3 linked regions of the Lepisosteus oculatus genome follow. The protein of the gene in region 3 purifies or fractionates together with the protein of the main gene of each other region. This does not show direct contact. Links are inferred from orthologs where the notes say so. Each region holds a gene or a part of one and is shown on either strand. Other genes may lie near its edges. The genes, in order: kpna6, kpna5 and chd8.

Region 1 (4,820 bases), on a different chromosome or scaffold from region 3:
TTACTCCGGGACAGGATAGTACTAGGGAAGGCTTACTCGTATTCCTCAAGCAGCACTTCTGACCAGAAAATAAGTTAAATGTTGCCATGGAACAACTACAGAATATGCCAGAGAGCTTTGTATTTTTTCTACAAGTGCTTTTTTTTCTTCGTGTCGTTGTTGTTTGTTTTTGGTTCTTTTCTGCCATAATAAAAAAACATATTTTTGTATTCCCTTAAAAGAGTCTTCCTTTCTTTCTTTGGTTGTATTTGAGGTGTTACTGAACGCTTGTGTGCTGGGGTTGTGTGTGTGTAGACAGTACAATGGTAGAAATGTGTGGGCATCCTCAGAGTATGTGGCACTGGCTGGGACAGATGTCTCCGAAGATTTTTTGCCAACAATAAAAAAGATCTGAAAGAAAATAAAATGACACACTGCATCAGTCTGATAGTGTTTTTTCCCCTGATACTCTTTTGCAAATGTCAACACATCAACACATTGTGGCTCCAGATGTCTTGGACTGCTGGCTTTGTCTCATCACTGCTTCTCTCAGTTAAAAAGTGTTTGAACGGCAAATGAAGATGTTTTTCTTCTCTTGGAATGTTTGTTCTGTTTCTTCTTCAAAGATGGCACTTGGGTGCAGAGTCCAAATGTAAGCACAGAAAAACACAACTGTCTCCAATTTATGAGGCAAGATAGTGTTTTGGATATACCTGGAACTGCTGATAAAATCATTGGTAGTCTAGGTTCAGCCGATTTGCCTGAAAATCCTTACCACCGGTGAACAGAATGAATCGCTATTCATTAAACCCCTGGAAAGATATAGCTGAATAATTTGTAACTGAAGAATAGAAATCCTCCAAGTCAAATGCACTACTCACAATTGCTTGCAATGAAGGATGCCAATAAAACAATTTGGGCTGCGACTGTGGTTCAGGGTACAAATGTCGCAGCCAAAATAAATTCAAGATCATCTTTATTTCCGTCCCTATCCTGGACACCTGATTGCACAGTAAAGAGCAAAGGCACTGTGGGCTTGACGTTCAGATGGAGGACAGTTTCTGACTGTTTTGAAGATAATCTATCTTGCAGATAACCAGCTCTTTTGTTGTTCAGAGTGCGTTGTGATGGACAGTTCATCAGTGTGCTCTGTGTGAGTGATTATTGAGTTGACTCTGCTGAGTAAGCCGTTCACCAATCTACCCCTCACGGACTTTGTTACAGTTTAATTTGATGCAGCTGGATTGCTGAAATGTAGGGGCCTAAGCTTTAAATGCATCGAAAATGAATCAGTTCTCTGGATTTTCTGTTGATAATAATCAAGGTACGAGTTCCTGTGAAATTAACACAACATTACAAATTTTGTGTTCTAGACATGGTTAATGTCTTTGTTTCTGGGATGGTGGCATTGCGATTATTCCTGCTGCCTCGCAGCTCTCAAGTCCTGGGTTCGATTCTGGACAGTGGCACGTTCTGTGTGCAGCTGGCATGTTTGGAGTGTTTTCTTTAGGTGCTCGGATAGGTGTTGGCTGGTTTTATAATTTCTTTAGTAATGTCAGACAGACAATTGAATCCTTGGAGAATGTTGCTGAAAAAACGTTTAGGAAGACATGACAAGGAAGGATTGCACACAACTTATCCTGACCATAATATCCCACTCAAGATCTGACAGCTCTTTCAAGATAGGCACTGCCAGAACACGCATAAATTGCAATTGCTGTTTGGCTACAGACAAATTAACACTACAAGCTGAACCTTAGCTGTCTTGTGTATTATCTTGTGTATTCTTTTTATTTATTGTTGTTGTCATTCTATAAAGCGCTTTGAGAAGCCACCTTTAAAGGCGCTATATAAAATAAAGTTTATTATTATTACTATTATTATTACTACTTGGGAGTTAAAATAAGGACTGACTCTCAGAGAGAGTTTTTTTCATCTCGTACGTGTGAGTAATTTGTATGGCATCATTTATTATCTAACTGCGAAGCTCTGAATGAATGCTTCAACTTGGATTGTCATCGGCATGCGTGCATCAGTCAGCAGAGCTGTTCAGGCGTAGTTCCTCGCCGAGCAATCGCCGGCTCTGAACCGCCCACCTTTTTCTAAAACGCGACGACGAGCCATTTGGCTGCTCCGGGCTTCCGTCGTCTTCCGACATATTGTCTGCGGACAGCAAATTCTGGAAGGGAGGGAGAGCGGGTGTGAGATTAAAATTAACAGAAATCGGGACAGAAGAGAGACACGGGGGGGCTGTCACCGGACGTATATCTGCCGCAATGGGTGAGTTGAAAGCGTGTAGCTCCCCGCAGAGCAGGCGGAGAGAGGGCGTCGGTAGACGGGCCGATTCCCCGGGTCACAGTTTCTCTCAGCCGTGCGGGCTGGTGGCGGGGGGGAGATCACGCTTGTCAAACCCCGGCCCTGTCTCTGCTGGAAAACGGGGCAGGGGTGGGGTGGGATCCGTTTCGACTCAAGCGGCAGGTTTTGTCTGGGGACGGGTCCGTGGCGTGGCGCGGCGCGGCTCGGCGCGGCTCCCGGGTGTGGGCCCTGTGTGGACGGGCCTGAGCTCAGGAGAGGCCGTGCGGCTGTTTCCAAGGGAGGGGAGCGGAAAAAAAAACACCTTTTACAGCAGCCATAGGCGGAAAAATTGCAGAAACGCTCCCTAATATTACCCACTCTCACAGTGTCACTCCATCTGTCTGCATGGTACGTAACATAAATAATAATAAAAAAAACCCTACAAAACGTGATCTTGATTTGGATGTTTATAGCAGTGGCTCATTATGCACTGTCTTAGTACTAGACGTGTTGTGGCTTTTTAGTAATCCGATGATTTCCATTATCAGAAGTTTTTTCTTGTTTCTTTTTTGGCCTGTAGGATGTACAACACAGTATTTGTTTTTCTTCATATATCCTCTACGTCGTATGAGAAACTGCGGGGAGGGGATCGAAAACGGCGTTTCAAGAATTACAATATTTCCACATACATTAAATTTGTGTGAACCGCTGGTGTGGCGGCTTCCGACATTTTAACTGGCAGGCCTACCGCCGTTTCTCTCTAGTTTGTCTTTTGAAACCTCTGTATTAAAGAAAGAGGGAATCATCTCCCGATTTGATTTAGATTTTTTTTTTGCAGTATCGCTAAAGTAGAATGGAGTTTGATTTAAAGGATCTAATTGTGCCCGGTTTTTCAGATATAATTCAATTTGCCTTTGTCTGACTTAAACGGGTCGGTTTCTATTCACACGTTTTTAGGTCTGTTTTGTTCATGCAGGATCTGATTCATATTTGCACAAGGCTCTTGAGTCAGGCAGTGACTCATGTGCTTAAGCTCTCTCGAGTATATTCTTCACCCTAGCTGGGAAACGCTTCATTTCTGAAAGTCGGTGGCCCCCGATATTCATCGTGAACTGTTCCTCTGCGGCATCGTATTTGATAACTGCAGACAGAGTCGTAAGGGACCAGTAAATGCGGAGGTGTCCTGGGTTTGATCGTCTCTAAGCCAGGGGTTTCGATTCTGGCCCTGCAGAACCACAGACCCGTTAGTGTTTCTGCCACCTGAGCACTCAAGTAATCGCTCCTTTAATATAGCTAATGATAGGTCAAGTAAAACCTCTTTCCCTGGAGTTCCTCAAGATTTATGAGGCTGCCTTTTAACTATTAAGTTGTCAGTAAAATCTACAGCCTTCAATAATAATAGTCATTCCTTACAATTACATAGTGCCTTTCTAGACTCGCTGACTCAAAGTGCTTTACAGGTAATGGGGACTCCCCTCCACAACCACCAGTGTGCAGCACCACCTCTGAGTACCAGGATAAAAAAAACCTGCAGAGGTTCCAATCAGGCAACTTGTTGTCCAGTTAAGGATTCATAGGTCAGGGGCTCCGCTGCAGTGTGGATCTCTAGGACCAGGATGGGGCAGTCCAAAAAGACTGAATTGATCCGTTATTCCTCATTTCTGGATGCCCAGGATGGCACTTTCCCTGGACGTGAAGATCACAGGACCAGGGGTGTCCAGGTGTGGTTCTGGAGGAGCGACTGCAGGGTTTCAGTCCAGCTCAGCTCCTTGTGACCTCACTCAGACTGCTATTGGCTTGCCTGGACCCATCTGACTGCTTCTCACTGCTCTTCAGGCCCTGCTGGCATTAAAGACCGACTAGCAGGCCTTGGCACTTGCTGGACAGCTCTGACCCAGAGTGAATAGTCTGGGGCTGCTGAAGGTATCACAGTGTATCGGTCACAAGCATATATATGTGATGCATTGTTTTCTCAGCAGCTTAAATGTAAATTAAGGGTCATACATTTTACAGCGCATAGAACATTTTGTATTTTTGATCACTTACACATGTATTGACTGAATTTAGGTCTTTTGTGTAAAAAAACAATTACCCTCTTCTTGGTATGGCTTTTCAGACTTCCTTGGATTGTTCATTCCTAGCCGATTACAGTGGTTCTGATCTAGCATTGTGTGTTTAAAAAATGAACTGGACGTCTGTACGTTTGTCCTGAGGTTTGGAGAACACGGTGGGGTGTTGAATTGCGAAGTGCCAGAGGGAGATGCAGTTCCTGCTAGCGGTTTCGGAAGAGGTCGCAGTCACCCCTGAACCTTTTAGGAAGGGAATGGAGGTTCTCGGAGAGTTTGCTCGTTTGGAAGGAAGTTGTCCGGTTTGATCTCGTACCTGAGAAGGAAGCCCAGGCAGGTGCCGTCTGCGCTGAGATATCCGTGTTTGCAGTCTGGCCCTGCCTCCCAGCTCCCTGAGCGTGTCCCAGACCAGGAGCACAGGTTCCATGGAAAAACAGACGGAGCTGCTAACTGCTCTGCTGCTGGTAACTCTGAAGCGAT
Region 2 (4,820 bases), on a different chromosome or scaffold from region 3:
GAGAATAAAAAAAGTTCACGGTGAAATTTTAGTGGACGCGTCCCAGTGTCTTTGTGCACTTCAATACACCTTTCCCCTCATTTCACATGGGGGTTCACTCCTGGAAAGCCCCCTGGCTGAAGAAATCACATGTAATGAATATTTAAGTTCATGGGGGGGAAAAAGGGATTGAGGTGCAGATGACCAGCATTAGACTTGTAAACCTCATAATAGACCTCACTTCTTTCTTTCAGTCACATACAACACATCCCTACACTTACTAAGCACTTCTCCCAATTCAGGGAGACAGGGGAGGTGGAGTCTATCCCGGGAAGCAATGGGCGCAAGGCGGGGAACACCCCGGGTGGGACTCTAGTTCATCACGGGACACGCACGCACACACGCACACCAGGACCAGTCTTTCCCAGAAGCCAATTAACCTACCAGTGTCTTTGGACTGTGGGAGAAAACCAGAGTGCCTGGAGGAAACCCATACAAAGCTCCACACAGATAGCACCCAGGGCACGTAACAAGTAAATCAAGTGTACATACACAGCAGAAATAAAAGGTAATTTAACGAATTTCCCATACATTAATAAGAGAAAGTTTGAGATGTATCATTACTGTCTTTACCACCATTCATCTTTCCACTGTAACACATGACTCTAACTAACTAGCCGCATGGCGCTACGGCCCTTGTAGAGCCCTGGCCTCCTCCACGCATCTCGGCCCCATACCAGTCTTCGCCATCCTCTCACTCTCAGCTTTCTGAGGTCTTCAACATCGTTTATCCATCTTTTGAGGACCCTGTAATCCCTAGAGAGTGTGTCCCCCATGGGGCGGATGGGGGAGCCCACCATAACAGCAGTGTGGCCCAAAAATACAGAATAAGGGCCCACGGACCAACAGGGATCCACTGCCTTGTGGACAGAGGAGGGATCCTCAAAGGCTAAGAGAGACGACCCTAACAGAAATCAATTTAGGTCGAACGCTTTAAGGAGGCAGCCCCTCCATCGCACTTCGAGGTGGGACTAACTACCCCATCCTGTAAAAAGTAAAAGTTACAAAACCAAAACATGATTCACCCGACTCAAACTGATCCAACACATCTGACGTTATCACAGATCACGAAAGCGAAGAAACAAACGACTTCCTCACTTGTAACAATTAGGAGTCATGGCTTCTCACCAGATAGTTAAAAAAAAACAGGAGGGAGCCACAGGGAAAATGAAAGAGACAATATGCAGCAAGCATCAACACAAACGAAAAAGGACACGCTGCTGGTTTTCTGGGAAGGTGGCAGAGACGTGCCACCAGTGACTGAGTCTGCATTAGACCATGTATACACAAGACTCTGCCAAAGCTTGCTGAAATTCTGGCATCAATGAACGCTATGTACATCCGTTTGTAAAATGTGTGTAAAAACCAAAACTACAGGGAAGACCTCTATGGTGGAATTGTTACCAATTCATATTGCAGTAATACAGTGATATCCCATTTCAGTCTCCACAAAAAAGATTCCCTTTTAGACCTTTCATTCGTTTTTTTTGGTGTGTGTGTGTGTGGGGGGGGGCGTTGAACATTCTTTAACAAGTTGGTACACAAGCGACTCTGGGACCTTCACTTTCTTTTACCTTGGGAAACCACTACCGGTAATTTCCCCCCCATTTTACTCAAAGTATACCCAAGTTGACTGAAATACATAAAGCCATTTCAGCTTCGAAGAATGCAGTCTAGATATTACAAGCGTAGATCATAGACAAAGTGAAAATATTAAGTGACAGCTTTAATGCACCAAAAATAGTGACATTTTAAACTTAAGTGACCTTCAGCAACAGCTAGCGACATTTGCAGAATTTATGACAGGGGTGTCGTCAGTCAACAACAGGAGAACTGTTGGGTAGAAGAACTGGAAAGGGTAGAAATGTGAAACAGCGTTATTAGTAGTTTGAGGGGTTCAAATTCCGGGAGAGGCACCGATGTTGCGCACTGATCATTAACTCGAACTGTTTCCTGCCCATGCCCAGCTATATAAATGGGTACAAATGGACCAAAACTGTCAGCCAAATAACGTTAACTCGGCGGAGAACACAAACCCGAACCTACGCTTAGAGCAATGCCAATTATTTTATTCGAAAAACATCACTGCCTGACCCGTCATCGCCCATCAACTATTTGTTCATACGGTCACTGTACATTTACGATACACTTCAAACCAGACCCATCACAGGTACGAACTAAGGCTAGGCGACGTTACCAGATAAGATCATAATAGGTACAAATTACGATATTCAACATTAACCTAAAGAGACAATTACATACCGCGTACAATTTATTTAAAAAAAACGCAAGTCGGCAAGATTCCAGGACAAATGGCAAACACATTTAAAGACCACGGTTACCTGTGTCTTCAGGTGGGCTGCACCAGGCGTGCTCACGAGTATCACAAGACACTAAACAAAACCAAGGTAAAATACAAGACCGCAGCCAACCTTTAGATCTTCTTCCACAGCCTGTCTAGGACTTCCAGTGACCCCAAACGCCTGGTTACGAGCCAGTTGCCAGCCTCTGGGGCCTACACCCTCCGCCAACTGGCCACCTAACACCGGAGCTCAGAACTGCAGGCACTACAGATTTTCTAGTTACATCCCCTCCCACGAAAGCCACCTTAACTGTAAATAAACAGCTGAAACTCCTTCAGCCTGGCGCCTGGCCTCCCCCGTGTACCTTAAAGAGCACGGCATGCTCCGCTTGTCAAACAAGTGACTACGATGACCGTGTAAGGGTTAGGAAGCGCTTACCCATGTACTGCCTTGCGTGCTTAGTAATTGCGCAGCTCTATTTCCGAGCACTGCCTCACCAGGATTGCTAACACAGTTCAGCGCAATATGGCGCACCTCTGTCAATTGCACAGAGGACTCCCAGCAGCCCCCTTATGTCCGTCAGCAGGAGATTGTGGCCAATCAGCGCTGGAGCTCGGTAAGATCCAGGATCCACGACTGCTGCAGGTTTTTCTGACAGACGAAAACGCCTGCATTGCACAGGGACACTGTGTTATAATAAAAGCAGAACATAATTTAAAGGCCTGACCCGATCAGAGATTTAGTAAAAGCATCTCCGCGCGTTACGGATACTTCAATGCGAGATTTTGAAATAGTATGAAAGAAGTATGAGGTATAGACTTGTTGGGTTAGGATGCCTCCGTCTTCAGCATTACACACAGGGACATTGAGTCGCCAGAGTCCCGTCCTGACCACACAGGAGGTAGACGGAGTACTTTAGCACTTATTCCCAACACAGGGAATACTCTCGGAGCACGGTTTACTCATAACATAAAAGTGTAAGCATGCTACAGAGCGTGTTTTGTACGAACAGTGCACAGAGAGGGTTAATGTGTCTATTTCTTCCCAAGCGTCGAGATTCCGCATTACGTCACCTTCATGTTCTCAAATGGCCACGGCCAATGACGTGACGTATTTGCACTCAATTGGCTCGCGGCCTTGCCCGGGCGGGTGGGATTCACGTGCGGAAGAGAGGAGTCGGCTGAATGGAAAATGAAAACGCAAGTGTTGTTGCTGCAATAGTGAGTGTACAGCGGCAGCGATCAAAGCGGTAGAAATACGAGAAAGAAGGGTGAGGAAGCGAGGCAAATTAAAGCGCACATTTCTTGCCCTGTTTTTATCCGTTTTCAGAGCTTTCGGTGTCTTTAAAGATGATTTTAAGTTGTTATGCTTCTCTACCTTTCCGGAGAAAAGCGCGGAATAGTGTTAATTATTTATATTCTTTTTATCTTTGTTATGCATTGTTATTCCCGGTTAGCTCTTGGCCTTGGTTCTTCAGGACTGTTGTCATTCACGCCGCGGTGAATGACAACAATCCTGTTTTGTTTGTTTTGTTTTGATTCAGCTTTAAGAGATTTCTTTTAAAAACATCATATTTTCAATGTACAGTATGTTGTGGTGTCCGGGTACAGGAGCGAATTTGTTGAAACTTTCTATTCTTTAATTCATAGTTACTGATAAGTACTTATTTCGGATTACATGTGTCAATATTTTTTAACTGAAACGTATACAATTTATGTAACAGAATAACACTCAATTAGTTTTTGGATGAGGACCGAAATATACACTGTGTGCTTATGTAAACGACCATGAAACCTCGCAGTCTCTGGTCCAACTGCACCTTGAGTCTCGTACGTATTTTGTATTTTGCATACGTAATCCATTTCTTAATTTCATAAACCCTTTCCTGTTAAACGCCTTTTGTCAAGCATCTGTAAGTTGCTTTGGATAAAAGTCTGAAAATAATATTGCTATTGGGAATAGTATTATTAAGATACGGACTCCAGCTCATGTCAATTCACGATGCATTTCCACTGGTGTCCTCTGCTGTGTGTTTTTATTTGGAAGACGTCCAGCAACAGAACAGCAACAAAAAAAGTCAAGCTCTTTAAACCTGTCAGTGCAGATCAGATCATTACTTCAACCCAGGAATTTGTTAAGTTTAACTTCTCTGGAGAGATTCCAATGTAGCAATATCCTTTTTTGTTATTTGGTTATCAAAGCTGTACACTTAATGTAAATGACATCTTGTGCTTTGTACCATTTTAAGGTTCTGTAACATCTCTTGATATGATTTCTAAGCTGTGACTGTATTATTTAACATTTTACTGCCCTTTTAGAGCTTTTTACAGTGTCAAGAATATGTAAATGATGTCCATACAAACACCTAGGCCTACAGAAAGTCGTGTTTTATGCTGCACAAATGACAATTCATTTTGAACTAACCTTTTCTACGTATTGTGTCCTTTCCACAGATTTCTTACTACTTGTAAATTATGC
Region 3 (4,820 bases):
GCACAAGACAGAGAACGCCCCAACACAGCATCTCTGCAACCTCCCGAGCTTCACAAATGTGCATAGAAAACCCAAAACATTTGAGTACCATCTGCAAGAACTCCAACCAAACAACTTCTGAGCTCGACTAACACATCAATTACATAAGTAACACAGGCTGGAATGAAGACTAGCAGTGTCTCGGGCAGCAGGTCAGTGTCATGGGCAGAGGGTCAGTGTCACGGGCAGTGCCTCGGGCAGCAGGTCAGTGTCACGGGCAGCGGGTCCATGCATTGGGCAGTGCCTCGTGCAGCAGGTCAGTGTCGCGGGCAGAGGGTCAGTGTCGCGGGACATGCCTCGGGCAGCAGGTCCGTGCCTCGGGCAGCAGGTCAGTTCATCGGACAGTATCTCGTGCAGCAGGTCAGTGTCGCGGGCAGAGGGTCAGTGTCGCGGGACATGCCTCGGGCAGCAGGTCCGTGCCTCGGGCAGCAGGTCAGTTCATCGGACAGTATCTCGGGCATCAGGTCAGTGTCATGGACAGTGCCTCGGGCAGCAGGTCAATGCATCGGACAGTATCTCGTGCACCGGGCAGAGGGTCAGTGCACCGGGCAGTGTCATGGGCAGAGGGTCAGTGCACCGGGCAGTGTCATGGGCAGAGGGTCAGTGCACCGGGCAGTTCCTCGTGCAGCAGCTCAGTGTCGCGGGCAGAGGGTCAGTGCACCGAGCAGCAGCTCAGTGTCGCAGGCAGAGGGTCAGTGCACTGAGCAGCAGGTCAGTGTCATGGGCAGAGGGTCAGTGCACCGGGCAGTTTCATGGTCAGAGGGTCAGTGCACCGGGCAGTGCCTCGAGCAGCAGGTCAGTGTTGCAAGCAGAGGATCAGTGTCACGGGACATGCCTCGGGCAGCAGGTCAGTGTCATGAGCAGAGGGTCAGGCAGCAGGTCAGTGTCACGGGACGTGCCTCGGGCAGCAGGTCAGTGTCACGGGACGTGCCTCGGGCAGCAGGTCAGTGTCGCGGGCAGAGGGTCAGTGTCACGGGACGTGCCTCGGGCAGCAGGTCAGTGTCGCGGGCAGAGGGTCAGTGTCACGGGACGTGCCTCGGGCAGCAGGTCAGTGTCGCGGGCAGAGGGTCAGGCAGCAGGTCAGTGTCACGGGACGTGCCTCGGGCAGCAGGTCAGTGTCACGGGCAGAGGGTCAGTGTCACGGGACGTGCCTCGGGCAGCAGGTCAGTGTCGCGGGCAGAGGGTCAGGCAGCAGGTCAGTGTCACGGGACGTGCCTCAGGCAGCAAGTCAGTGTCGCGGGCAGAGGGTCAGTGCAGCACGTCAGTCTCATGGGCAGAGGGTCAGTGCACCGGGCAGCAGCTCAGTGTCGCGGGCAGAGGGTCAGTGCCTCAGGCAGCCGGGCAGTGCCTCGGGCAGAGGGTCAGTGTACCAGGCAGTGTCACGGGCAGAGGGTCAGTGTCACGGGCAGTGCCTCTTGCAGTAGGTCAGTGGACTGGGCAGAGCATCACTGTCATGGGCAGTGTCTTGGGCAGCAGGTCAGTGTACTGGGCAAAGCATCAGTGTCACAGGCAGCAGGTCAGTGTCATGGGCAGCAGGTGCAGCAGTTCAGTGTCTCAGGCAGCAGGTCAGCGACTCAAGCAGAGCTCAGAGGACACCCCCAGGTGCCCCCACACTGCCCCTGTCCCCCAAGAACAGACGCTAACAGAGAGGCGCGCCGATACAGTCCAGCAATAACCCCACACACACACTCAGGGCGCTCAGCGGCGCTATCCGCTCCAGGTATTCACAGTGGCAGGACCCTCGGGAAGCTCGAGAGGAAAAGCTGGGACTCGGATCCTGCGGGAATTCACACGGGAATACAGCCCGTCCAGCACCAGCACACTTTCATCCCATACAGCGCCTTTCCACCCGGGGGCTGCGGGGAGGGGGGGGGCTCATCGCAGCCAGGCAGCGTGAGGCAGCAGCCACAACACCACGCGTGAGCGAGACACGCAGGGAAGGAGACGCGAATACGGGACAAATGAAGGTGTATCCCGGGCTGGAGAGCGAAGGAAAGAGACGCGGCGTGTCGGCTGCCGGCGAGAGGAGTGAAATCGGGGCTTCGGCGGCGGCAGAGGGGAAAGTCTGCCGTCCTGCCCGGCTCCCAGCCTCACCGCCCGCCGCCGCCGGGAAGACCCGGGCTGGATCGGACCGCGATGGAAGAGGAGTCAGCCTGCCTCCCCGACAGCAGTCTTCACCCCAACCCCCCTCACTTCCAAACACACCATCACGATGTTACAGCAGGGTGAAATTCTCCTTCGAGCCGAGCCGAGCCAGCGACACACCACAACACAACACCACAGAGCCGAAAGACGGCCACACGGACTCGGCGGCCCCGGGCGAGCGAGCCGCTGCCGGCCGCCGGCCGCCGGAGAGGAGATGCGCCCGCAGGAGAGAGGGAGAGAGAGGGGAAACTGAAAGTCACAAACTCCGGTGCGGGAGTCAGACAGGAGACGCGATTTCCCGGGGGCTGCCTGCCGCAGACACGGGCACAGAAACACCGAGGAGCGGGGTAGCCAGCGGTCTCTCGCCCCCCGCACAACAACAACAACCACCACCTCCCTCCTCCTCTTCCTCCTCCCTCTCCCCTCTCCCTCAGCGAGCCGACCGGAGCAGCGTGCGGCTCCGCTCCGAACCCGCTCCCGCGACAGGCCGCGCCGCGCCTGGGCGCCGGGCGAGGGGACGCGGCCGGGGCCCCCGCGGGCCGCCGTCGGAGGCCGCCTCCCGGCAAAACCCGGCTCCCTCCCCCGCCCCCCCGCCGACTCCGGCCCTCCGCGCTCCTTTCGGGGTGTAAAAATTTACCTTTACCGCGACACACATGGCTTTCAGCGTCTCTCTCTCTCGCAACACTGTACGCTACAGGAAACGGCCGGAGCCAGAGCAGGAACTAACTTTCCTAAGCGACGCAGGGCCTCGCCGCAGCCTTCCCTATACCTCCTCCCCTCCCCCTCTATGCCCCGCCCCGTCCGGGGCTACGCAAGAGACGTCGGGCTGCGATTGGCCCAGTCCGCATGGGCGCTGACGGCTACCGGAACTCAATTGGCTGGAAGACGCTGTCGATCACGGTGTTATCTTGTGGAGGGGGGGAGGAGGAGGGAGTGCGACAAGGCAGCGAGGGGGTAGTTCGGTTGAGAGCGCAGCGGGAGAGTGCGGCCTGGTGCGTTTCTAGGCAGGTTTGGAGCCTGAGATCCCTTCGCTTGTGCGCGGCGTCACAGCTCCCCCACCTCTCTCTCTCCCTCATCCCTTCCGAAAATAAAAAAAAACACAAAACCTGTCACACCACGACCCGCCAGGCCGGAGAAACAGTCGGGCGAGGACCGAGACTGCGTGAGAGCAACTTTCGCGTTTTAGGACCGGGAAAAAAAAACAACCCCACTATTAAACTGAGATCCATATTGTTTGTTTGGGGTTAAAAGCCAGGTGATGGAGTTTATTTCACGCAACGGAAGATCGCTGATGCGTATCTGGGGCCATTTGGCATTGAGTTCTGTGTTACAGTATCGTGCAGATCAATTGTTCCAAGTCAGGAAAACATAAAAAAAACTGTGGAAACACACTTGTATAAGAAAACGTTAAAAGCAATGGCAGGAACAAAGCACGCTTTCACGATACGATGTCAAACTAAGGCTGAACTGTATGAAAAGGAGAACAAGACTGAGGCAGCTGCCTCTGCAGACCAGATCATTTGGTAGCTGGTAGATTGTTAACCCTGGTAAAGTACAGCATTACAAAGACTAGCAGAGAGAATACAGCCACTGTACCCCAGACTGTACCCCAGCCTGCACCAGGAGAGAGAGAAACTGTACCCCAGACTGTACCCCAGCCTGCACCAGGAGAGAGAGAAACTGTACCCCAGACTGCACCATCAGAGAGAGAAACTGTACCCCAGACTGTACCAGGAGAGAAAAACTGTACCCCAGACTGTACCCCAGCCTGCACCAGCAGAGAGAGAAACTGTACCCCATACTGTACCAGCAGCGAGAGAAACTGTACCCCAGACTTTAACAACAGAGAGAGAAAGTGTACCCCAGACTGCACCAGCAGAGAGAGAAACTGTACCCCAGCCTGCACCAGGATAGAGAGAAACTGTACCCCATACTGCACCATCAGAGAGAGAAACTATACCCCAGACTGCACAAGCAGAGAGAGAAACTGTACCCCAGACTGTACCCCAGCCTGCACAAACACAGAGAGAAACTGTACTCCAGGACACCCCTACTCTTACTGACAGTGTCCTGGGATCTGTACTGACCAGTCAGGACACCCCTACTCTTACTGACAGTGTCCTGGGATCTGTACTGACCAGTCAGGACACCCCTACTCTTACTGACAGTGTCCTGGGATCTGTACTGACCAGTCAGGACACCCCTACTCTTACTGACAGTGTCCTGGGATCTGTACTGACCAGCAGTCAGGACACCCCTACTCTTACTGACAGTGTCCTGGGATCTGAACTGACCAGTCAGGACAGCCCTACTCTTACTGACAGTGTCCTGGGATCTGAACTGACCAGCAGTCAGGACACCCCTACTCTTACTGACAGTGTCCTGGGATCTGTACTGACCAGTCAGGACACCCCTACTCTTACTGACAGTGTCCTGGGATCTGTACTGACCAGCAGTCAGGACACCCCTACTCTTACTGACAGTGTCCTGGGGTCTGTACTGACCAGTCAGGACAGCCCTACTCTTACTGACAGTGTCCTGGGATCTGAACTGACCAGCAGTCAGGACACCCCTACTCTTACTGACAGTGTCCTGGGATCTGGACTGACCAGTCAGGACACCCCTACTCTTACTGA

What was found.
Region 1: the proteins of chd8 (region 3) and kpna6 purify together in Homo sapiens (affinity purification with mass spectrometry; 4 studies listed by BioGRID and IntAct, with this or other methods). This does not show direct contact. The link is inferred for Lepisosteus oculatus from reciprocal best matches to the Homo sapiens genes CHD8 and KPNA6.
Region 2: the proteins of chd8 (region 3) and kpna5 purify together in Homo sapiens (affinity purification with mass spectrometry; 3 studies listed by BioGRID and IntAct, with this or other methods). This does not show direct contact. The link is inferred for Lepisosteus oculatus from reciprocal best matches to the Homo sapiens genes CHD8 and KPNA5.

Annotation. Positions count from the first base shown.
Region 1 is NC_090706.1:3,287,495-3,292,314, forward strand, and holds the start of kpna6 (importin subunit alpha-7), read left to right. Parts: upstream 1-2,103; 5' UTR 2,104-2,255; coding exon 2,256-2,259; intron 2,260-2,311; exon of another isoform or gene 2,312-2,682; intron 2,683-4,820. Other genes in the region: tmem39b (transmembrane protein 39B), read left to right, coding at 1-78. UniProt on the Homo sapiens protein: Functions in nuclear protein import as an adapter protein for nuclear receptor KPNB1. Binds specifically and directly to substrates containing either a simple or bipartite NLS motif.
Region 2 is NC_090697.1:32,630,148-32,634,967, reverse strand, and holds the start of kpna5 (importin subunit alpha-6), read right to left. Parts: upstream 2,910-4,820; 5' UTR 2,785-2,909; coding exon 2,781-2,784; intron 1-2,780. UniProt on the Homo sapiens protein: Functions in nuclear protein import as an adapter protein for nuclear receptor KPNB1. Binds specifically and directly to substrates containing either a simple or bipartite NLS motif.
Region 3 is NC_090699.1:12,468,089-12,472,908, reverse strand, and holds the start of chd8 (chromodomain-helicase-DNA-binding protein 8), read right to left. Parts: upstream 2,975-4,820; 5' UTR 2,822-2,974; intron 1-2,821. UniProt on the Homo sapiens protein: ATP-dependent chromatin-remodeling factor, it slides nucleosomes along DNA; nucleosome sliding requires ATP. Acts as a transcription repressor by remodeling chromatin structure and recruiting histone H1 to target genes.